Linked DNA regions of Elephas maximus indicus. The protein of the gene in region 2 interacts with the protein of the main gene of each other region in a pairwise test. Links are inferred from orthologs where the notes say so. Each region holds a gene or a part of one and is shown on either strand. Other genes may lie near its edges.

Region 1 (7,934 bases), on a different chromosome or scaffold from region 2:
AACCCAGAAGAATACATCAGGGTGATGATTCTGTCAAGGGACAGCTTCATTCCAGCTGTCAGGCAAACTCAACAGCATGTGCAAAGACAAAAAGAATGAATGGGACAAATGATACCAGTGTTTCCAAGGTATATTCTTGGAAAAAAAAGTCTAGGAAATTTTGGGTTATACAGGTTTCTTAGTTGCAGGACTTCTCTGAGCCCTCATATACTGTGAAACTTAAATAACAAGAGGGTTCTTTCCTAGGAAATCTTTCTGGAGATAAATGCTGGTATAGCTAGCTTTTAACCTACTTCAGCCTAGGGCACACTGGGTGAGGACTCAGTTCCTCTAGATCCACTAGTCTAGACCCTCCCATCTACTTTCACCTATATCAACAGTCAGCCTCTGGCTGATCCACAGCAATCAAGTCACCCTAGTTGTCACATTGTATCTTTTGAACTATGAATGAGGCAGAGCTGGTGTCACTCCTTCACACTTCCCTATACCCACATACCTTCCCTGGGGGCAAGATGACACGACAGGCCATGTCCCAAGTCAGGGAGAACATGACAGGCATGAAGTGGGATACAAAAGGCTTGTGGCGGCCACCCTCCTCCTTGCTGAGGATGTAAACCTGTAGGAGAGCAATGAAGGTGCAGCTGGACTTGACTAGAAGCACTGCTTCCATGCAGGGGACAGTGTGGCTTAGCCCTGCCCACCATCAGCTGGAGCCCTCACCTGGGCCTCCACCTTCTGGTGGGGCTGGATGGAACCTGGCTTAGCCATGACCAGGCCACGCCTCAGGTCCTCACGCTTCAAGCCTCGGAGCAGGGCTCCAAGATTATCGCCTGCCTCTGCCCTTTCCAGGCTCTTGTGGAACATCTCAATGCCTAGAAAAGAAGAAAGGAGGCAAAAGGGACAAGGAGGAGTACCTGGGTTAGAGGAGAAAGCACGAGGAATTCACAAGGTGAAAGGTCAGCTCCTGGGTCCCAAGGCTTCCTATACCTGTCACCACAGTGCGAATGTTCTTGTTATGTCCCAGGAACTCACACTCGTCTCCCTTTTTCAAAATGCCACGCTCCAGCGTACCTGTTACCACCGTGCCCCGGCCTGAAAAGGAGCCGGAAAGGACATCAGGGACGCTCGGCTAAGCTATTGCTGGGGTAGAGGGTACAAACAAGCATGGTCTGGTCCTCACCAGGGACAGAGTAAATAGATTCTACAGGCATGAGGAAAGGCTTCTCCAGGTCTCGAATGGGCACTGGGATGTAAGTGTCCACAGCATCCAGCAACTTCTGCACTGACTTTAGGCCTAGCTCAGGGTCACGTTGCTGTGAAGGGAATTGACAGGACTCTTAAAAATCCACTCTGCTCCTCTTACCAAGCATCACTCTCTGGACTCAGAGCAGAGCTCTGCCTGCCCATCCAGCCTCATCCTCTGCCAGCAGCCCCCTACTGTCCCTATCCTCACCTCAAGGGCACAGAGAGCAGAGCCTACAATAACTGGGGCCTCCTCCCCTTTGTAGCCAAACTCAGTGAGCAGTTCCCGGATTTCCAGCTCAACTAGCTCCACCGTCTCAGAGTCCTGGACAGCATCTGCCTTGTTCACATACACCACAATGTACTCTACCCCGATCTGTAGATGGAGAAAGATAACAAGGGATGGTGTCCAGAGTGGCCCAACGGCCACTCTTCCCCTTTGCACCCCACCTGAGCTCTTGAGTACCTGTTTGGCCAGTAATAAGTGCTCTCGGGTCTGGGGCATGGGGCCGTCATCGGCTGCCACCACCAGGATACAGCCATCGAGGGGAGCGGCGCCTGTGATCATATTCTGGGTTGGGGGAGGAGAGGAAACACTCAGCCAAGTTCAGTGGCCTCCTCGGCTCCATATCCATCTGACCAAGCACAGCAATTGAGAACTGAGGCTCACATTTCCCTTCCATCTCCTCACCCCCCAACTTTGAGTCATCATGGCCACAAATCCATAGTCTCAAATACCTACATCTCAGTATCATAACCTTCTCTCCTTATGCCCACCATTTATCCTGACAGAAGGCAGCTCCTGGTCCTCTCCCCAGAGGTCCTCAGTAACTCTCTCACCTTAATGTAATCTGCGTGGCCTGGGCAGTCTGTGTGGGCATAGTGGCGGGCGGCAGTGCTATACTCCACATGGGCTGCGTTGATTGTGATACCCCGAGCTCGCTCTTCCGGAGCATTGTCAATCTCTTCATACTTCTTAAACTTGGCCCCGCCGCCCTCCTCTAGAACTGGAGGGAAGAGACACACCTCTCAGCTAAACTTCCAAGGCTACGGGCAGGGCTCAGGCCACACCCCTGAGCCCCTCCCACCTAAACGAATGAGTCTGGGAGGATAAAAATTCTGTAATCCCTCTCCCTCCAATCTCCGATTTCTCCAGCAGAGCTAACTTTGCATCAGAAAGGGCTATTACAGTCCTCAAGGTCCAGCCCTGCGAATTCTCCAGGGGGAGGCAGTTCAGGGTCCCCCAATTCATGCATCAAAAAGTTCTTCAGGTTAAAGGGAAATCTGCATCTTCCACTCTACCGCCTGCCCGAGTTCTGGTTCCCAAGGCCACACGAAACACGTCCAGCAGCCGCTCAGGGGCCCAGTTTCCTGGCTCCAGGTCCTGTCTCTAGATCGGGCACTACCGGACGCCCCCAGCCCATGCCCGCTCACTCTTGGTGATGGCCGCTGTCAGCGTGGTCTTGCCGTGGTCCACATGGCCGATGGTACCCACGTTCACATGGGGCCTATCGCGGACATAGACCTTCTTGGCCTCCACTGCCAAGCCTCGACACAAGAGGGGCAGTGCCGGGGCCTTTGGCGGCCACAACAGGCCCTGCAGTAGTGAAGTCGGGCCGGCGCCGAGACCTGCGGGACAGAGGCTTGGAGTCAGGACGCGGATTCGAGCCCGGCCACCCCCGGAGCACCCTACGGGTCCCCAGGCTGCCACCGCCCTCCCTGCCCCCTCACCGCAGAAGCGGGGCGTCGCGCGCAGCAGGGTCGTGGCCGCCATTATGGTGGTGCAGGCGCCCCGCGTACCGCGTAGCGGCAACCCGCGCGTGCAACAGCCAAAGGACACTTACTGCTGAAGTCACTTCCGGCGGAAGTGAGGGCCGAGAAGGCGAGTCCGGGCGCCTCTAGCCACCAGTTTCCACTGCTTTCTCCGCCGACTTCCGGACACAAGGCAGAGGACGTCGGGAAAAGTGCAGGTGTCTCCGGGAGGGGAAGGGTGGAGGTTTCCGCGATGCGATCGGGTCTAGCCGCCTGACGGGCTATGTTCTTTTCTCAGGTGGCACCGGTGGGCCTTGCATTTTCCAAGGCGGAGGGTTTAGGGTGGAAGTCAGGTAGGTCCGCGCCGGGTCCAGAGGGTGTAGAGGCGGCCTGGGTGCGGACTACTCAAGAAAGTCCCGGGCCCGGCGCAGAGAGGTCCCGGATCCCCTGGATTCCGACCCACTGCGCGGTTCTCGCGGCCTTCGAGCCGCAATGGAGGTAGGACCAGGTCCTGGACGCCTTTCGGGGCAGGGGCTCCAGTGTGACCCATCTCTCCGCTGAGCCTTTGTTTTCTTATCTGTAAAATGGGAATAATAGTATCCATTTAATAGGGAGATTCTGACATCTGGACCTGAGAGGAAATGAGCTACGCTGAAGTCAGGGATGGGGTCTTGGGACTTCCAGCTGGAACAGTCCCTGCCCCTCAAATATCTGTCCCCACCGCACCCCCGGTTCTGTACTGGCTGACCTCATAGGGTCGGAGTCCTAAGACAAGGCTCTGTCGTCTACTCCTGTAGCCCCTTCTGCGGCCCAGGGGGAAATTCCCTTGTCTCTCTCCTCCCCCACCCCCGCCCCCACCTCATTTTACAGATAACATCGAGGATGAGGGACCAGCCTGAATCTTGTTCCTGGAAGTGTCCCTAGCACCCAACATAGGGCAGGGCACATAGTGAGTGCTCAATAAATGTCTGTTGACTGACTGACTGACTGAAAGAGTAGTAAATAACCTTTAGCTCTCACATCCATCATCTCATCGCAGCATCCGACATCAGCCTGAAATAATAAAACCAAAAAACCAAACCCACTGCTGTCGAGTCTATTCTGACTCGTAGCAACCCTGATCCTGATTAACGTTTCCAAAACTTACCCGAACCTACGACTCAATAGACAGCACTTGTTTCAAATCGATTCCCTGATTGCTCCCTTGGAGATTATGATTCAGTGGAGTCTGGGCACAGGGTGTAACAAACACCTTGCCCTCCTCCTTCAGCTGAAAGGAGTTTGGGAAAGGAGTCTGAACTAGAGCTTTTTATGTATCAAACGTTGTGCAAATGTTCTATATTGATTCACAATCAGTGTTCCCAGTGTTACCTGATGTGTGGTCAGATCTGTTATTTTCCCCATTTTACAGGTGAGAAAACTGAGAATCAGGGAGATGAAGATTAACCCCCCCAAACCTCAAAAGCCCTAAAAACATGTGCTCTTAAGCACTGCACTGTACTATTATTTAATACATTAAATTATGTATTATTTTACAGATTGCTCAGATAAAGTGAGGAACTTGCGTCTTTCTGGCCCTCCAACCCATCATTTCTGCCTAAAAAGGGCTGGTATAAGTATGGAAATGTTTTCTTTGTCTTTTCTGTGCCCCTCAGTCACTCCGCTCCTGGGAATTTATCCTGAAATACTATCAGCCACTGGTGGGGGTGGGAGTTTTTTTGGGTGACATATGAACTAATGGTTTCTATGCTAGTGGTACTGTATTTATTTATTACTTTTTAGCAACTTTAATGAAGTGTAACTTACAGTAAATGGCACATATTGTCCAATTTGGTACGTTTTGACGTGTTTTTGAGCCACAAAACCATCACAACAATCAAAATAATGAACATGTCTATCACTCTCCCCCAAACATTTCCTCATGATGCACTGTAATCCCTCTCTCAGCCCCCGATTTCTCACCCCCACACCAGCCCTCAGGCAACCTCTGCTATGTTTTCTGTCATTGTCTATGTATGTTATTTCTATCATAAGTGTATTTACTGATTGATTTTTTTAAATATTGAGTTTTCAGTGAAGGTTCACCTAGCACTTTAGGCTCCCATTCAACAATTTCTACACAAGTGGTTCAGTGATACGTAAATGACTGAGGTTTGAGAAACAGTGCTAAGAAGAGGGTCCAAAGGAAGAAAAACTTTTGTGGCGCTGTTGAGTGTAGCATATTCTGTAATAGTAAATCGATCAGTCAGGAATCTTGATTTACAGATAATTTACATTGACTGGTTTAAGCAGGGGAGGGATTTATTAGAGAGTATTGGGCAGCTTACAGATTTGTGGGGAGGACTAGAGAGATACTCCCAAGCCATAGGACTGACAAATAAGAAAACTGCTGCTGCTGTCACTGCCACCAAACACGAAGTGCCAGGACTTAGACTTGTCTGCAGCAGCTATTGCTGGAAACACTGAAGCCATGTTTGCATCATCAAAGTGATCATCCCTCTGCCCCCAAAGCCAGGCAAATTCAAAGTCTCACATGGATATGTCTGATAGAAGAAGCCTAGATCATATGTCAAGGTTCTTGTATCAGAGGAGGCTGAGATGTAGTCTTTGATATTGGAGAGGCAGGGCTGATTGCAAGGAATTTCTCCAAATGTAGAAAGTCTAAAAGATGCCCACCATACCGTTACTGAACATTTTGATCAAAGATTCTATAGAAGAATCCTGAACAAAAGGGAGGAAATGCAGGACAGATTTCACATTCTCATGGAATCCAGACTTTCTGGAGTCATGGAGGCTGGATGAACCCCTGACATTATTGCCCTGAGATCTTTAAACCTTAAACCAAAAATATCCCCTGAAATATTCTTTAAACCAAACATTAGTTCAGCTTATTTAGTAAAGAATATCTGCCTTCAGCATTTTGCTCTTTTAAGAACTGTCTACATAGAATCAAATTGACAACAGTAATTTGAAAGATAGGAAACTCAGGGGGCAGTGAGTTTGTTAATGGGGAGGAACAATTCAGAAAAGGAGGCTGAGAATGGTTATACACCTTGAAAAATGTGATCAGTCACTGAATTGTACATGGAGAAATTGTTGAATTGGTTTATGTTCTGCTGTATATATTCTCAACAACAATAAAAAGATGTCCAGCCCACATGAACCACGGCCTCTTCTAGCCTGAGACCAGAAGAACTAGATAGTGCCCAACTACCACTACAGACCATTCCGACCAGGGACACAATAGAAGGTGCCTGATAGAATGGGGGAAAAATGTAGAACAAAATTCAAATTCCCAAAAAAGGCCAGACTTACTGAATCTATAGTGATGAGAGGAACCCCTGAGACTATCACCCTAAGATACCCTTTGAACTTGAAACTGAATCAATTTTTGCTGGGCACCTTTCAGCCAAATAATACATTGGCTTATTAAATAAAGAATATCACCCATGAGTAATGTGCTGCCTTAAACAATTAACCCTATGAGACCAAATGGTCAACATTTACCAAAAAGCAAAGATGAGAAGGCAAGGAGGGGAAGAGAAGCTAGATCAATGGAAACAGAACAAACAGAAGGGAGATAATGAGGTTGCTGACACTTTGTGAAAATTGTAACCACACAGAACAATAAGTATAAAAATTGTTAAAGGGGAACCTCGTTTGCTGTGTAGTCTTTCACTTAAAACATAATAAAACATTATTTAAGAAAAAAAAAGTCCAGCCACACCTGTCACAAATATTGTAGTCAAAGAGTGGGATAGACACGAATGTCCAGTATGTGAATATGGTGGCATGAACTGTGGCATAGCCACTAGGTGAGATATTAATGGGGTAGGCTCAGTGTTGCAGAGATGGGGGAGCCAGCCACCTGTGAAAATGTTTGTGACCAATGTTACGGAGCAAGGAAGAAGGAAGGAGCTACTCCATGGGAACCTACTACAGAAAAATAGCCTGCGTACAAGGTCGGGGGTGAAGGGGTAGGAACAAAGGAAGTTGAAAACAATGTGACTTTAGAAGGCTGTGAATTTGCTTGGAGGAGGAGATTTTTCATATTTTGTGTGACTGGAGTTAAAGGAGAATTCTTTGTGAAGAATCTTGAACTCTAAAAAAGGTGTTCCTGAAATCAAATGACCTTCCAGGTCCTCCCCTCCGCACCTCTCCAGCTGTCCATTCAGTCTGCTGTTGGGCAGACACCTTTAGTTCCTACCTGACAGTGGTTTTGCCATCTTCCTGAACGCAGGGCCCTGATTTTGTTCAGGGTGGCCCCTTCCCCAGCTCCAGGCGTAAATTCTGGTGGTCCTGTTCTTGCCAGGGGATTTGTGTGGGGTTGAGTTTGTGACTCCTTTGGAACCAGTGATTGGTATGAGGAGATCTGCTTGGGGCAGGGGGAAGAGGGCTTCTGGGAAATAATTCCTCTTAAGGAGATGCTGGAAGAGGAATACCTCTTTCTGACTGGATGTTGCTGGATCTGGATGGGAAGCGTGAAACTTCTGTGGCCATCTTGTTCCCAGTTTGGTGATGAGGCCAGAACCAAGAGGAGAACAAAGCGAAGAGGATCTTAGAAAATGGACTCCTTGTGTTATTAGATGATGAATGTCATTTCTGTTTAAGCCAGGCTGTGCCAGAGTTGTCTGTTCTTTACAGCCAAATCCATCCTAACAGATACTCTCTCTTATAGCAGTTGGTATCCTGAGACAGAGTTCTTGGTTTTACTTGCCTGAGACTATGAGTGCCTTGAGTAGGGCCAGGACCAAGCATCATTTATCTATCTCTGTGTCCCTGGTGCCTGGCTGCGGTAGACCTCTGCAAATGTTCGCAGCTGAACTATTAATGAGCCTTCGCAAACTGACTGTGGTGCTCCAGATTAACATGTCCAAAACAGGACTCTTCGTTCTCTCCCACACCCTCCTTAAAAACCAAACCAAATCCATTGCCATCAA
Region 2 (7,638 bases):
CAATGGCACACAACAACAGTATGCAAAAGAATCCCAGATTTCTAAGTCTAGCCCTCCTAAATGGTAAATTTACATTTTCCAATTACATTCTGGACTTCTCTAGCACCCAGAACCACACATTCAAAATGTCCCAAAGCAAGCATCACTTTTCTACCCAAACCAACTGTTGCTAAGGCCCCAACTTGTAAGCGACAGCACCATTCTCCAGGCTTGCTATCTCATATTCATCTCAGACTCAGCCTTCTCCATCCTCTCCTTGGTCCAACTGTTTGCCAAGTTCTATATACTCTATCTCTATAACATTACTTGACCCTGTCTCCTTTCTGCTCTTGAGAGCATCATTACCTTGCTAATGGATCAGGCATCTATTACCTTGCTTCCAGACCACTCTAACTGGTCTTCCCCTGAGCTCCAGTCTCTCCTAGCAACCACCCATCTTGATGTCAGTTTTATTTTCACTATGCTCCAAAACCTATAGCTACCTACAGCTAAATATAATCTCTTTAGCCTCCCATACATGTCCTGAATTGGTCTGAATTGTTAACTGGTTAGTGCTTATTAACCTTTCCTCTTTAATGTATGACACAAATTATTACATCAGTTTCACTCCCTTAGAAAATTGCAAAAATTTGCTACACTGAATCTATAGTCATTGCAACAAATCATTGTATAATATTAGAGTCCTACTGCACACAGCTCCTGGGCTACCACCTGGCTATAACTCAAATGTATGTATTACTATAAAAAACATATCCCTCAGTAAGGGGGGGCAGCATCAAATGCTCAGAAAAGGAAGAGGAAGAAGCAAACAGCAGCCAGGTCTCCGGTGTCAACGATATCCTGGACAGCATGCTCCACAACCATGTGTATGATGGCATCAGCTGCTAAAATGAACCTACTAACTCCCCCTGCTCTGTCTCTAGGCTCTCCAAGCAAACATCTGCCAATTATGAGGCCTACAAATAGTGATTTGATAATTCTGTTTCTCAATTATTTCTTAGCCTCTTTTTTTAAGATTGGACATTAGGCCCTGACTCACTTTAACCAGTCATCTATGGCACCAAATTGTGAGCTTATATAAAGAGAGGACCAGACCCTAAATTAGGGGATCAAAGTACAACCAGCCTGTGGAGAATTGTTTGAATGACCAAGGCCACGAACAGACATCTCTCTTCTAACTGTGGGCTTTTTTTCATACAGCCGCATTAACAAATACACTTAATAAATACTGCACCTTTCCATTACAGAATCTTCCCATAAAATGGCATTTTTAAAAAGGCATGGAGGAGTGTGCCACTGTTCAAAGTGCATGAAAAACACAAATCAAAAAAAAAGTTATACTTACCAAGTATATTTAAATTAATGCAAGATAAATTTAACTTAGAATCTAAGAAAAAAGCCATTATTTGTAAGTACCCTCACTACAAAAATTCTCTACAGTCATGTACATTTTCAAAATAAAGTGTCAGACTTGTTTCTAATCCATGTTACTTGGCCAATCTTTTATTCCAGGAATAACCAAAGTAGATCCATAGCAGCAATTACGTAATCATGTGGTCCGAAATTGTTAACTGATTAGGCTAATGCCTATTAACTGCTCCCCCTTAACGTACTTCACAATATTAGAAGGGAAGCAGCCAGCCCTTTAATTCCAACACAGAACCACCATTCTACAGCTCCTCTTCAAAGCACTGGTATAATCAGAACCAGCCCACAAAAATGAACAGAACCATCTGTATCATCATCAACCATTCTTAATGAGGATTTTACACAGCTCCCTATAGCACTGACAATCCGGGAGACCAGTTCTACTGTGTGAGTTTCTCACAGGTTGTTCCAGTTGTTACCACTGGGTGACATGTAAAAATTATTTACACATGCCAAACCAAACACCAAACCGTTGCCGTTGAGTCGATTCTGACTCATAGTGACCCTACAGGACAGAGCAGAACTGCTCCACAGGGTTTCCAAGGAGTGGCTGGATTCGAACTGCTGACCTTTTGTTTAGCAGCCTGAACACCTGACCACTGTGCCACCAGGGCTCCATTTACATAAAGTTAACTCTTAAATATTTTTTTCTATTTACTCACTATTACGGAGTCAGATCCACTACATATGCTGAACTTCAGAAAGAGGAATCTATATTAAAAAAATCAAAGGAAGGATGAGGAGGGAATAGTGGTACCCTGGCAGGCATGACGGAGGGGAATTATCAAAACCAACACTGAGTCTGAGCGTAGATTACACCAATCATATCAGAGAAAAGCTTCAAAACTGTGCTATTTTAGGATTAACAGTGTAAACCCACTCAATATGTATTGAGTCTGGCCCACCTACAAAAGGGCAGAGGCCAGGCTCCTAATGAATTTAATGAAAAAGATGTTCTTCTCACCAGCCAGTCACTCCACCCATTACAATCTGAGTGGCTACTGAGTATTTTTCTACCATAGGTCCCGAACTGTGGCCAAACACTCGATTCCACCAGTGGTGTCTTCTTGCGTACTCGGTTAAATCCAACACTTCGTAAGACTCGTCATCACTTTCATACTCTTCAAAATACAAAAACAGAAAAAAATTAATTTAGAGTCAATCTAAAGTCATAAATGTTCCTTCATTTTTTTTTTAATGTTACAATTCACTGTTACTTTTGGCCTACAGGTAAAAACGTCCAGGCGGAAACTGATGAGTGTTATTAGGACTTCAAGAGTAAAAGGGGCTAGAAATAATATGCCCATCTCCTTCCTAAAGGCCCAAGGACCAGCCAGGGGCACGAAGCCAGTCAGATCAGAGTTACACAGCAGTGAGGGGCCACCTACCCAAATCTCAGTAGGGTAAGGAGCAGAGAAAGGTCCATTTTCAGTGAGAAGAGGGGGGTTCTCCTCTCAAAGAATCGGTCAGGAGCCGGAGAGAAGAAATCACTCCAGAGTCAGACTAAAAAACCGTTTGAAGATGAGGGGCCGGGGTTGAAAAGACAGACAAGGGGTGGGGCTACTTTGGGGGCGAGGGTCGCTCTCCCCCAGCGCTCCACCAAGAGGGGAGGACGAAGTCTAGCTCAGAGGGGGTATTAAACGGGCGGCCTCAAAGAAAAAACAGAGCCCCAGAGACCCTGGGGAAGGGGAAGGTAAAGCCGCCCCCGGAGCAAGGTCAGGAGCTGTGAGCCGCGCCCGGACCGCTCACCTTGGGGAGGGGGGTTCCGGGTCGCCATGATTCCGCTGGGGGCCTGTTGAGGGTGGTCCCCGCCCACCCTCCTCTCTTTTACACTTTGAGGGCCGCTCTAGGCCGGTGCGAAAGTCTATGCTCTCTTTCTTCCTCCTCCTTCTCTTCAGGCGCCACGTCCAGTCCCCGCCCCCTCCCCCTCCAGCGCGGGGCCTCCTGCGCAAGCGCAAGTCTCACGGGTCGGGAGGGGAGGGCAGCGAGCAGCCCCCGCGAGGACTTGTGGAAATTGTAGTCCGTTGACGTCTGCACCACTGGCCTCGCCTTCCCACCTCCACCCCTCCGGAATTTCCTTAACCCTAGTTTTGTTTTAAAGAGCCTCAGTGTTTGGGGTGGCGGGGTGGGGAGGTAGGAAGGTCTCTCGTGGTTTAGAGCGCAAAACCAGCTGGGCATTTGAACACTACCAGAATTCAAGCCATTGGGGAAAAGGGCTTTTATAAAGAGATAACAGAAGCCCTGTTTGAAACCACACTTTTCTAAGGAGGCAAGAGCTCACCAACCGATTGAAATTATTTCTAACGTGCTATTGCGGAGAATTGGAACCTTTTTATCCATTTTCTCTGCACGTGTTCCTTGCCAGGCGCTCAAGGGAGGCAGCAGAAGGGCTAGGAAGTGGCCTGACACCAGTTACTCAAGAGGACATAACTTTGTATCATTATGATTTTTTATTATTTAAATCTAACAGGAATGAGGGTCAAGTTTCTTTACCCAGAAGCCCCAAGTGATTCTGTAGAATGAAGAACCACGTTGATCACCAAGCAGCTAACTCAAGTTCACAAATATACCAGCCCCCAAACTTCTTTTGAACTTGCATTACATCCGCATTTGCTGTACGATTAAATGAGGCCCCTCAATATTAGTTTTAATGAAAAATCAAGGAATCCTGATGTAGATTGAATTACTTAAAATATTGACTTGCATAATTGAGCTTGGCTCAATTTCAAATCCTGGCCCTTTAAATGCAAAAGTTAGTTCTGTAATGATCCTAAGCCTGTGGCCTCCAAAATGCAATTCTAAGGCTGTCCGGAGTGGGTGTTCCAAACTCAAAGGCCGGTTTCTTTGTGTAAGACTCCACTTTTCAGAAACAAAGATTTTAGGGGGCATAACTCCACATCTTCTCACTGAAGTGTTTTTCCAAAAGTTACTGATTTTGAGTTCATACGCTCCTTCCTCGCCATTATCCACCCATTCCTGTTAAGGTACTAACAGAGAAATAGCCAAATAATGGGCTACTAAAAGAAGAGTTGGGTGGGTTAAAAGAAGAGAATGGAGAAAAAAGGGAAAGGAGTATCATAAATTGGAAGAGCAAAATGGAGGGTTGACTGAGCCAATGACATCCAAGTGACACTTTCACAATATCTGCCAACTGCAGAAAGAAGTCACTTTCATGTCAAGGAAATGACTTTTAGAGTCAAATGGCTATGGAGAAATAAGGGAGATAATAGAAACAAAATGCTGCTCTTAGGATGCCAAAGAATAAACCTTAAATGTATCCAAAAGTGAATTAAAAATCAATCATTTCTGCAAAGACCTTGATGGCTGAAAAGAAAATTTTTAATATGTTCTTCCCTTCCATCTTTAGTGATACGCCTTTGCCATTGCATTAAGGAAGTTAGTTGTACAGGTAGTCCCCAACTTAAGATGTATTCCAGTTACCACTAATTGCACTTCTGACAGTCCTTTTTTTTTTGTACATCTTATTCTTAGTAATATGTGCTGATGATATCATTCTCAGATGTTCACTCTAAGATGTTCAATTTTATGATTAACTCTTCAAAACACTGCTGTATAGATTTAGTTTTCTAAACTAAATCAGGGGTTTGGGTTGCTTGAAAACATGGACCCAAACGCTGATCACTTTGCTAGAGTCAATAGGCAGATTCAGGAAGCAGTGAGATGTTACCAGGAAATATATGAAGAAAAAAAGAAAAGGACCATACAGACAACTCTTACTAATTTTCTGATTAGAAACACTATCCCAATTCCCAGGGATAATTCAGAAGACACAGAACTTTCCAAAAGTGGAGTTATTACCGCAACTGACAAAATGCCAACATCGTCCAACTCTTCTTCATCTTTGGAGAAAATTTTTATGATTTGTGTATTTTTTATGTATGTGTGTATTAAAATATATCTGTAAGTTTATATGTAATGTTTCCAACCCCCAGAGACAAAGACTGGATTTTTAAAGATACTGATAATAAAAGGCAATAATAATGAAAATTTCAAAAAAAAATGAAGTATTTGACTTACGTCAGAACTGACTCGTGTCAGAACAGAACCCTGTTGTAAATCAAGGACCACCTTATAATGTATTTTTCTAGTGTGGATTTTCTCTTTCCCAACAGCAAAAAAGCTGTCATTTTGTTGTCTGAATGAAGAGTGGTTTAATGTGTACCTAAATTATATACACAGACTTTCCGAAGTGCTGTGATCAACCTGATGTTCTCTAGGGGGTGATGTGTGTTTTTTTTTTTTTTATAATTCCCATTTTATTTATTTATTTATTATTAATTTCCATTTTAAATAGTGTAAATAATTTTTCTTTTCAGTCAACACTAATAAACATTTTCATTATGAGCACTGGTATCATCTACAACTCTACCAAAACATAATTCAGACAGTCCCCAACTTTCCAATGGATAGAGTCCCAAAAGTTTATGAATAACTATTTGAAATTGAGAACATTTACTATTTCATCCATAACGAATCTTTAAAGAAGCTGTTGTCCCCTATTCCATCCTGAGCTTCACCTTTCCTTAACTTCTCATTCCTTGGAAACCTCACTTGTTAAAAACTGTTTAGTCAGAATGGAGAAAAGCAAAAAGTTGCAGAACAAACAGAAGAACACTTCACACTCCCTGAGCAATCTCATGTCCCCCATTGGCTACAACTGTTATTCCCTATTAGATGTCCACATTTCAATGACCTGCAAATTCAAACAACTTCACTCTATCTTTGAAGCTCCCCAAAGGAGAAAAATTAGTCACCTCCTTTTCCCCTCCCTTTTCTCCCACAGTTACACAGTCACTTATCCTATGCTTGCACCACCAAAACTGTGACATCCTTTCTCTCCCTGATGGTCAGCCCACCCGTTGGACCACTGCAATGGCCTCTCAATTGGCTCCTTCCTCCTTTTCTTGCTTCTCCCCACCCCACCCCAATCCAGTCTACTCTTCATCAGAATTTTTCTTCTAAAACCTGCATCTGATCTTGTTCTTTCTCTTCTTGAATACTTGTAAAAGTTGCCCATTGGTTACAACATTAAGCCTAAACTTCTTATGACATACTGCAGAAGTCGGCAAACTACTTCTGTAAAGAGTCGGATAGTAAATATATTTTAGGCTCTGCTGGCCACATAATGGTGTTTGTGGTATAGTCTTCTTTTTCTTTTGTAAACAGTCTTTTAAACCAGGGCTTCGAACCAGTTCAGTCATGGCCAATGAAGCAAAACCGAAACAGAACCAAATTTTTAAAAATCTGGGTGATCCGTAATCATAACCAGAATGGGAAAAATTTTGGATCGAAGCCCTGGAATGGGAGACTCGGAAGAGGTGTAGTGAGCCCTTTCAGGAGCCTGATGTGTGAGATTGGGTTATTGCCAGGACCGAGAAGAGCGACACACATTCAAAGCAGTGAGGTAGGCCACCATCTTTGATTGGGGTACCACTGTTTCCAACTCCGCGCAAAATCCAATAGGCAAGAGATTTGGTTGTTATGCAATGTGTATGCTGCCCTTGTTTTCCAAGAGGGAGATTAACTTTCTAGTAGGGTTTCAACTTGTAATTTTCCCAGCTCCTGTTACGGTTCTGGTTCACTCGAATTTTAAAAAATTTAGGTCTGTTCCAGTGTCATTTCCTCAGTCATGATTGAACCAGGAAGAACCTGTTCAAAGCCCTGCTTTAAACGTGTAAAAACTATTCTTAGCTCATGGGCTAATTTGGCCTGCACATCCTAGTCTACTGACCACTGGCATATAGGACCCTCCACATTTTGGACCCGAGTTACCTCTCTGGCCTCCCAATGCAGCTTGCTCCAAATTTCCTCCTTTTCTAGGTCCACTGAAGAACTAAGTTTTCTGAATACACTTTGCTTTTTCCAACTTCCCTGACTTGGTGCATGCTCTTTCCTCCACCTGAAAGTAATAGCTTCCTTCTCTACTAGGCAAATACTCAAACACCCTTTAAGACACATCTTAAAAGTAACTTCCATACAGTTTTTCTCTACTTCCCCCAAAGACCTCCCTCTCATTATCATCCTTAGTTGAATTTAAAGAAGGCAGTTTGCATTTCAATTAAGCATTTGGATGAACTTTCAGGTCAGCCAGACCTGAGTTCAAATTCCAGCTCTGTCCTTTTGCAGTGCAGTGAATTACTTAATAAGGCCCTTCTAGCCCATAGTCTTTGTAACTTCCACCAAATGACA
Region 3 (7,876 bases), on a different chromosome or scaffold from region 2:
TGGAAGTATGTTAACATTTTCAAGGTAGCTGTATACACTAGCTGGTATGACAATTATGACTTAATCCTACAGTTCAAGGAAGTAATAGGCCACAACTACCACAGCCTCCACTGGACTGAGTCCAGCATGACTAGATGGTGCCCAGCTACCACCTCTGATTACTCTGACAGGGGTCACAGTAGAGGGTCCCAGACAGAGCTGGAGAAATGTACAACAAAATCCTAACTCACAAAAAAAGACCAGTCTTACTGGCCTGAAAAAGACTGGAGAAACCTCAAGAGTATCGCCCCCGGACACCCTTTTTGCTCAGTAATGAAGTGACTCCTGAGGTTCACCTCTCAGCCAAAAGATGGACAGGCCCATAAAACAAAAAGAGACTAAAGCGGCACAACGGCCCTGGGGCAAGGAGTAGAAGGCAGGAGGGGACAGGAAAGCTGGTAATAGGGAACCCAAGGTCCCGAAGGGAGGGTGTTGACATGCTGTGGGGTTGGTAACTGATGTCACAAAACAATGTATGTACTAATTGTTTAATGAGAAGCTAGTTTGTTCTGTAAACTTTCATCTAAAGCACAATAATAAAAAATAAATCAATTCCGTTTGGCAAGGGCAGTCCAGACAGTTACCAAATATTAAGTTCTTAAACAAAGTACCTTAAACAGTACATTATTCACGGTCTTTTTTAATAAAATAATTCTATGGAAAATAAAACTCAGATACGGAGAGGCACACAAAACACATGTATGGCCTAATGAATTATACTAAGGTCAATACCCTTGCAATTGCCACCAGGTTAAGAAATAGAACTTTGCCACCACTCCAGAAATCTGGTCCATGTGTTTGCCCCAATCACAATCTCTGCCCTCCTCTCATATTTGTATTTTTATAGAAATCATTTTCTTCCACTTTTTTTTAAACAGTTTTGTCACCGAAATTTGCTTTCCTAGATGCTACAGTTTTGTACTGCTCTTTAAAACTTTAATATTAAGCTTCTCTGTTAATGCTAATAGGACGTAATGATACCTACACAGAACAGACTCACTAGATTGAGAACTAAATATATTTGTGAACAAAAATCACCCACATTAACAAATTATTCACTGCCTGAAAAGATTCAAATTGGAACTCTGCACGAACAAGTCTTACACCCTGGGTTGCTGATAACTGAGTTTTAAGGGGCCACTGTTGCTCTTTTAGAACACTTATTCTTTTAACATTGCGTATCATGCAGATTTATCTGCAGAGACATTAATATTTCAGGTTGCAAATTTCCTGAATTAAAAAAACTTAAACCATGTATTAATATTATACTTCAGCCATAAGACAAATTCCACCTACCCCAGGAAGATAGTCAAAGCTGTAATTTCACTTTGGTTGAACAGAAAGGAGTCAATTTTGTGGTTTATGAAGTCAGCAAAAACATACTGCAAAATTAAAGCTATAACAACATTATGGTGGTTACAGCAGGGTACATATTTTAAGAGTCCTTTTTTCTTTTATCCCGGAAATAGGGATATGAAGTATCTTGTATTTAGATTCGGATTAAAGGCAATGTATTTTTATTCAAAATTTAGGACCCTCTGAATTGCCAATCAGCATTTAAAATCACTACTGATTTGTAGTTAATGTTCCCAAATTAAAATTCATTTTCTTAAATGTCAATTAAGGCAAAGAGTCTCACACATTTGTTATACACACATAACCATACAGTGGATGAAAATCACATGTGATGCGAGACACTCCATTACCTGTCCGTTCAAAATGTTTACTGCCCTCTGTGTGTCAAGCACTATGCTACTTTAGATATTAGACTCACTATTTACTTTGCCTTAAATACCTACAATCACGTGTGCACATTTAGTAATATTTTCCCTAGTGTATATTTTAACTATAGAAATTTAACAGGATAGTTAAAACACTCAGAATTATCAAACTTCTTCGGCACTGTAACCCTACCGTTACAACGCACAGATACGCCTGTATGGGAAAGCAGACACTAATGTTACATGTAAACGTAATAAATAGCGTGTACACAAACTTGTGCTTCTACCAGGGACTCTTCAACAATTTGTAATTTACTAGACTGTATGCTATTCCATTCCTCTATCAATTAATTTTGCATGAAATAATTCAACCAAATTCGAACTACGTTGTGCCCCACTCCCTACAAAACAAATACTAAAGTAGTCCCTACATCAGACTTGATTTCTGAAGAGCGTTTTAAAACAACTCTGCCTACATGACCAAGGAAGCAAAAGCTGGGAGCAATCACCAAAAAGAAAAACACACTTCACAACCAATTTTCTCCACCACATGTGCGCAGAGAACCGAACCAAACAGGAGGCGGAGAAGCATAACATCGTAGAAGTGGGTCCTGAATGGCATATTTCCTCCCCAACCCCCAACCCAAAACAAAGGGAAACTTTAACATGTCGCGGCTTTCAATCAAACCGAGCGAAGCGGGAGGCTCAGCCACTCGCCCCACACCCTCGCCTTCTCTCCCAGCACGGTCGCCACCCGGTGTCAGCCAACACATAGGTCCCCAACCTTTGGGACGGAAAGGGGTCGCCTGCCTCGTCCCCTACCTGAGTCGTGGGAGCCAAAATAAACCCCGCTTTTTCCCCCCACCTAGCCGAGCAGACCACGACATGAAGCGGGGCCCCCGTCCGAAGCCGCGAGGACCTTCGGTCGGACTCGGGCGGGACGGGGCGGAGACCGCGCCGGGGGCGAGCAGGTAGCCCCGGGAGGGAGACACGCCCGCCGGGGGGAGGGCGCAGCGCCGGGCGAGCCGGGCCGGGGGAGGGGAGAAGTTTCCCCCAACTTCCCGGCCGGGAGCCCGCGGGGGCGGGAAGCGGCGGCGGCGCCTCCGGGCGTGGGCGGACGCCGGGCCTAGCGCTGTCCCGGCCGGGTCGGCCGCCTCCCCTCGCCGCGCCGCGGGGGCCCGCCGGGTCTTACCTGCTCCCGCGCCGCCGTCGCCTGAGTCGCTGCTGCTGCGGCTCGGGGCGGGGAGGAGGGGGCGGCGGGCGGCGGCGGGGCCCGCGGGGCCCTCTCCCTCCTCCAGCCACTCGTCCGGGGCGCCCGGCGGCGGCGGCGGCGGCGGAGCCGGACCCGGACTCGTTCCTTCAGGAGGAGGGAACTCCCGGGCTCCCCGCCCCCGGCCTCGCCCTCCGCCCCCTCCCGGCTCCGCCCCTCCGCTGCTCGCGGGCCGGGCGGGGGTCCGGCTACCTGCGCGCGGCGGGCCGCCTACCGGAACTGGCGCCCAGGGCCCGGCGCGGCGCCCTTTCCGGCCTCGGCGCGCTGCCTGCGCCCCTCGGGGCCCGGCCGCCCTGGCGCGCTCTCCGTCGGCGGCGAGTCCGAGTCACTGATCCCGACCCAACATGGCGGCGGGGTCCGGGGCTGATTCCCGAGGCGGAGCAGGCTGAGGGGCGTGAGGAGGAGGTGCTTCTGCACCCCGAAGAGCGAGCCACAGCGCCCCCTCCCCAGGCGCGCCCCCGGGGGCCTCGGACCGGCCGACCGGGCTGCGGCGGGAGAGTGAACGGGGCGCGGATCCCGCCCCCTTCTGCCCTTCTCTCTCGTTTGCCCCGCTGTGTGAAGGCCGGGGGGCTGTGTTTGTTTTCGGGGGGACGGACGGGTGGAGGGTTTTGTGTCTGTCGGTTGTTTGCTTTGCAGTACTGTGCTTCCACACCCTTTGTCGCTGATAGTGAAATCTCAGCGCAGCCGCGGGAGCCAGGGGGGCGTTACTAACACCATCCTGATCGCCGTCCAAAAACGTTCGAGTCTGGCTTCCATCCGAGGCCGGCAGACTGTCCCTGCCCCGGAGCTTCCTGTTGACTGTAGGTCGACCAGGCGTTCCTGGAGGGGGGCCGAAGCTGACTTCTGTTAGGACTGTCCTAGCAGTGGGGGTTTTCTTATCTGATTCTCACAACAACCCAGTGAGAGAGCTGGGACAGGATATTATTACCCCGTTTGACAGCTGTGGAAACTGAGGCTGCGACCTCGAAATTGGAACAGCCACAACTAGAGTCGTGTCCATCTGAATCCCATCATCTTTGCTCTTTGCCTATAGTCAGTCCCTGGAGGAAACTGGGGAGGACCCAGAAGAAACTGGGATAAAGATAAGGGTTAGTCAAGGTTGGAACGGGCTGCACATTGAAGCTTTTGGGGTCTGGTGCCGCAGTGGTTAAGCGTTCAGCTGCTAACCAAAAAGGTCAGCACTTGGAATCCACCAGCCACTCCTGGGAAACCCTAAAAAGCAGTTCTACCCCGTCATATACAATGGCTGTGAGTCGGAATCCACCCGATGCACCGGGTTTAGCTTGGTTCTGCTGAAATCACTTTTGCCCTGTCACACTCTTAGACTGACTTCCTCTTTGTATTTCCTCTTTGGTGGAATTGTTTAATGTGGGATTGTTGGTTTCCTTTGTGTGTGGTTTTTAGAGAAATTCAAAATCATCTCCAACAAATACCCACGAAACAACACAATGGTAAGTTTCAGAAATCTGGTACTCTAGGAACTTAGGACATGCATCTAAAAATTAAAAAAAAAAAAGTAATTTTTCAGCTCACCAAATGAACCAAAGGTAGGCATAGACACGCACATTAACAAAGAGGTACACATGCTGAAAATTCATTTGCTATTAACTACCTTGAGCACTTTTCTATATGAGCGATCTTTTCTCCTTTCACGTAAATTTATATTCAGGTTTTTGTAAAACTAGAAAATAAATTCCTTGAGCTGTTGCTTTTCTAAACTTCTAAATAAAATCTAGATTAATTTTTTGTCTCTTTTCCTAAACTCTCAGCCTCAAAAAAAATCTGCTCTAAAATAACCAGTTTAGCCCAGTTTAAGGGGTGAGATGGTTTTCAAGCTGTTCTCTATGGGATTGTAAAGACAGGAGAAGGTGTCAAAATCTCTTACTAGATGTTACAGATTATACTGATTTATCCTTGTGTTTTTTTCTTTTATCCCTCATTTTGATTCTTTTTTTATTATCTCATTGCCTTTCTTTTTTGGAATACTCATCATTCAGTGCCAAGCTTCAGTCTAAATAACCTGGAGGCTCATCTATTTCCAGTAATCAAACATTAAGGCAGAGAGAGAATCTGATATAACAGAAATTGCTTTTAACTGAAAATCTTTTACTGGTGAAATGGAGAAATGAAGATGCTCACGCCAATGTTTCCCTCCCGTGCAGGATAAAGGCCTAGTATGTACATATGTCTTTAAGGAGTGTTAAGAGACATAAATCTTTAAATCCATGGGAAAGACTGCTGGATGGAAAAGCTTTAAATAAATAAAACTATCTATTTAAATTTATTTAAGTATGTTAAGTCCCTACAAAAGTGAGAGGTTTTCATTTATTAAGTTCATTAATGCTGAGTTACTTGACTGGCTGGTAGTTCAAAAGATTTGGCGTTTAGCTGGGTGCACTATTACCCTGGAACTTGTTATTCTGCCAGGAAATGCCTTTGTTTAGGGTACTGTTGCTGCTGCCTCCATCACTGAGGCTCAGATGATGATTTTCCGTTCCTGGTAAGAGTAGAAAGCCTGTGGTCCTACATAGGCTACACGTATTGGTCTCTGCTGTTAGAAGCTGTCCCCACTACTACTCTCCCCACATACCTTCCAGGGGACTTGAGCTAACCACTCAAAGACTGGATCTCCTCATGTCCACTCTGCGTCTGAAGTTATCTCACCACCTTAGCGTTGCCTCCTTCATCTGACCAAAACTGCTCCTAGGCCCAATTCAGAAGAATATGAGCACCCCTGTAAGCAAAGATTTCAAGGATCAGGCAAAATGAACGTATTTATCCTTGAGTGTAGGCTCAGTGTGCTAACTTCACAGGAGAAATGTAGTAACACAGCCATTTCTCAGTGCTCTGGGCATCTTCACTGCTTCAGGATTCGGACATTACAGTTTTTATTCCCCCTCAACTGGGAAAAGCTGCCTAAGAGAGCTAAGTCAGTTAATAGATGTCACAAATGGCAATGTTACAGGGGCTTTAGCAAATTCACCCCATCTCACTGCTGCCTTTTGTTGCTCTCCAGCTTTTAACTTTTTTTATTTTTATTTTTTGGCTCGTCTACAATCTTAAAATTTCCCCCTGGCGTGGCATGCCTCCCAGCTCTAGGCCTATCTTCTGGCAGTCTCTCTTTGCTGTTAACATCTACCTTGAGGTCATCTCTTGGTTTATTTCTCAGGCATCAATTCTTTCTTGTTCTCCCTCACTGTTTGGCCCCAGGCCTGTTATAGCTACCAAAGTCCCTAGTACAGGACTAGCTTCTTATACCCACTCTGCCTATTCCTAAGTAACATTACCCACAGCTTTAAACTTTCACACCCTCAACTTGTTTCCTCTTTCTTCTGTGACAGCAATTTCTCAGCTTGATGGGCACTTGGCATCTTCTCACCTAGCAGAATACAGCATGCCACCGACACCTTTTGAAGGTTATCTGTTTAGCCCAAGCTCCTCTTTCCCAAGAATTGACCCTCTAACAATATGTCGTGATCTCAGTAGGGCTAATCCCAGGCTCTAGCCTGGAATTTTGAATTTTGAGAGAGGAACACAAGAGTGACACAGAGTTATGCATGGTGGCTACGGTGGAGAGTCCAGTGGCAGAAGGTGAGTGTCCAGGGTCGGAAAGTCCAGCAGCAGTAGGCAACATGTGTCCAGTGCTGATGGTGTCTGCATCCAAAGCAGGCCATCCCTCTTTCACCCTTGCCTTCCTTGGTTCCTGCCTGAGGTTAGTCCACTAATCTTTCTGATGACTTTTTAAAATTCCTCCAGTAAATTATCTTTATGCATAAATGAAGGAGACACAGTTGCTCTTCTTTGCAGATTGGAACCCCTACAGGTAAAAGGCCACTGCTTAGACTCTATTTCAACTGCTGACAGTAAACTCAGGTGCTGTGAGGGTAGCATCTCCTGATGTCCACGGGGCAGGAGGGCAAGGGGGGAGTCAGTTTTCAGAGTGAGAAGGATGAAGCAGATGCGCAGCAAGCAGCAGTAGGGACCCCAGCTCTACAACTCCAGTTGCCTTGAGCCACATGGAAAAGCCCAAACCTGGAACAGCTGGCAGTCAGTCCCTCCTGCCTGCCCGTGGCAATCATTGCTTTTAGATCGTGGTTATGTCATACACCTTCCCAGAGCACTAACTTCGTCTTCAAAGTCCTTCTCAACACAATGATGCAGGCAGGAGACCCAAAACTGGAGTTAGAATATGTTGAAATCCATTTGCCAACCCCGTTCTGTAATTTCCTCCCAAGATCTTTATTTGCAATTCCTATAGCCATTACCGAGTGTTTGGCCTTTACTTTTCCGATCCATTAAGCTGATGTATAGTCTTAATGTATCAGTGTCTCTGACACTGAGTTTAAATACCACTAAATTTGCTACCAGATTGCTACTTCCTGGAAATTTTTACAAATAGGCTATGAAAAGTAGAATATAGCTTTGTTTGGAGGCAATGTTTACCTACATCAAATGTTTAGAAAAAACTATTAAGCATGCTCTTATCTTTAAGGTTAACTGACAGCATGAAACATGAAGGGTGTGTATTAAGGAAATTTTCTACTATTAGATATTTTGCAAGCTGACACTATGCCTAGGATAAAAAAGTATGTTTAGAATAAATCCATGCTTTTGGGAAAATCTTATTTCAATCTCCTTTTTTAAAGCTAAATCCTTTTTACTTTTTTTGCATTTTTAGTGGTATAGATCATGGTTTTTCACATTTCTGTCTGAACAAATAAAACCTGACTTACCAGATCTTATTATGTGATATGAACCGCAATGCATTTAAGCTTTTAGTAAAGTGTATTTAGTCTTCTTTGACTTGTGTATGAATAGGACTGTTGATTACTTAAAATAGATACTT

What was found. The genes of interacting proteins can lie anywhere in the genome.
Region 1: the proteins of FUNDC1 (region 2) and TUFM interact in binary tests that used the Homo sapiens proteins (3 or more experiments, as listed by UniProt). The two-hybrid records come from large-scale screens. The link is inferred for Elephas maximus indicus from reciprocal best matches to the Homo sapiens genes FUNDC1 and TUFM.
Region 3: the proteins of FUNDC1 (region 2) and YES1 interact in binary tests that used the Homo sapiens proteins (3 or more experiments, as listed by UniProt). The two-hybrid records come from large-scale screens. The link is inferred for Elephas maximus indicus from reciprocal best matches to the Homo sapiens genes FUNDC1 and YES1.

What each region holds. Positions count from the first base shown.
Region 1 is NC_064830.1:88,835,028-88,842,961, reverse strand, and holds the start of TUFM (elongation factor Tu, mitochondrial), read right to left. Parts: upstream 3,089-7,934; 5' UTR 3,017-3,088; coding exon 2,974-3,016; intron 2,872-2,973; coding exon 2,677-2,871; intron 2,250-2,676; coding exon 2,083-2,249; intron 1,814-2,082; coding exon 1,709-1,813; intron 1,619-1,708; coding exon 1,454-1,618; intron 1,314-1,453; coding exon 1,181-1,313; intron 1,093-1,180; coding exon 988-1,092; intron 873-987; coding exon 721-872; intron 617-720; coding exon 497-616; intron 1-496. UniProt on the Homo sapiens protein: GTP hydrolase that promotes the GTP-dependent binding of aminoacyl-tRNA to the A-site of ribosomes during protein biosynthesis. Also plays a role in the regulation of autophagy and innate immunity.
Region 2 is NC_064846.1:128,603,684-128,611,321, reverse strand, and holds the start of FUNDC1 (FUN14 domain-containing protein 1), read right to left. Parts: upstream 3,351-7,638; 5' UTR 3,206-3,350; coding exon 3,178-3,205; intron 2,550-3,177; coding exon 2,393-2,549; intron 1-2,392. UniProt on the Homo sapiens protein: Integral mitochondrial outer-membrane protein that mediates the formation of mitochondria-associated endoplasmic reticulum membranes (MAMs).
Region 3 is NC_064829.1:17,547,352-17,555,227, forward strand, and holds the start of YES1 (tyrosine-protein kinase Yes), read right to left. Parts: upstream 3,089-7,876; 5' UTR 2,953-3,088; intron 2,891-2,952; exon of another isoform or gene 2,583-2,890; intron 1-2,582. UniProt on the Homo sapiens protein: Non-receptor protein tyrosine kinase that is involved in the regulation of cell growth and survival, apoptosis, cell-cell adhesion, cytoskeleton remodeling, and differentiation.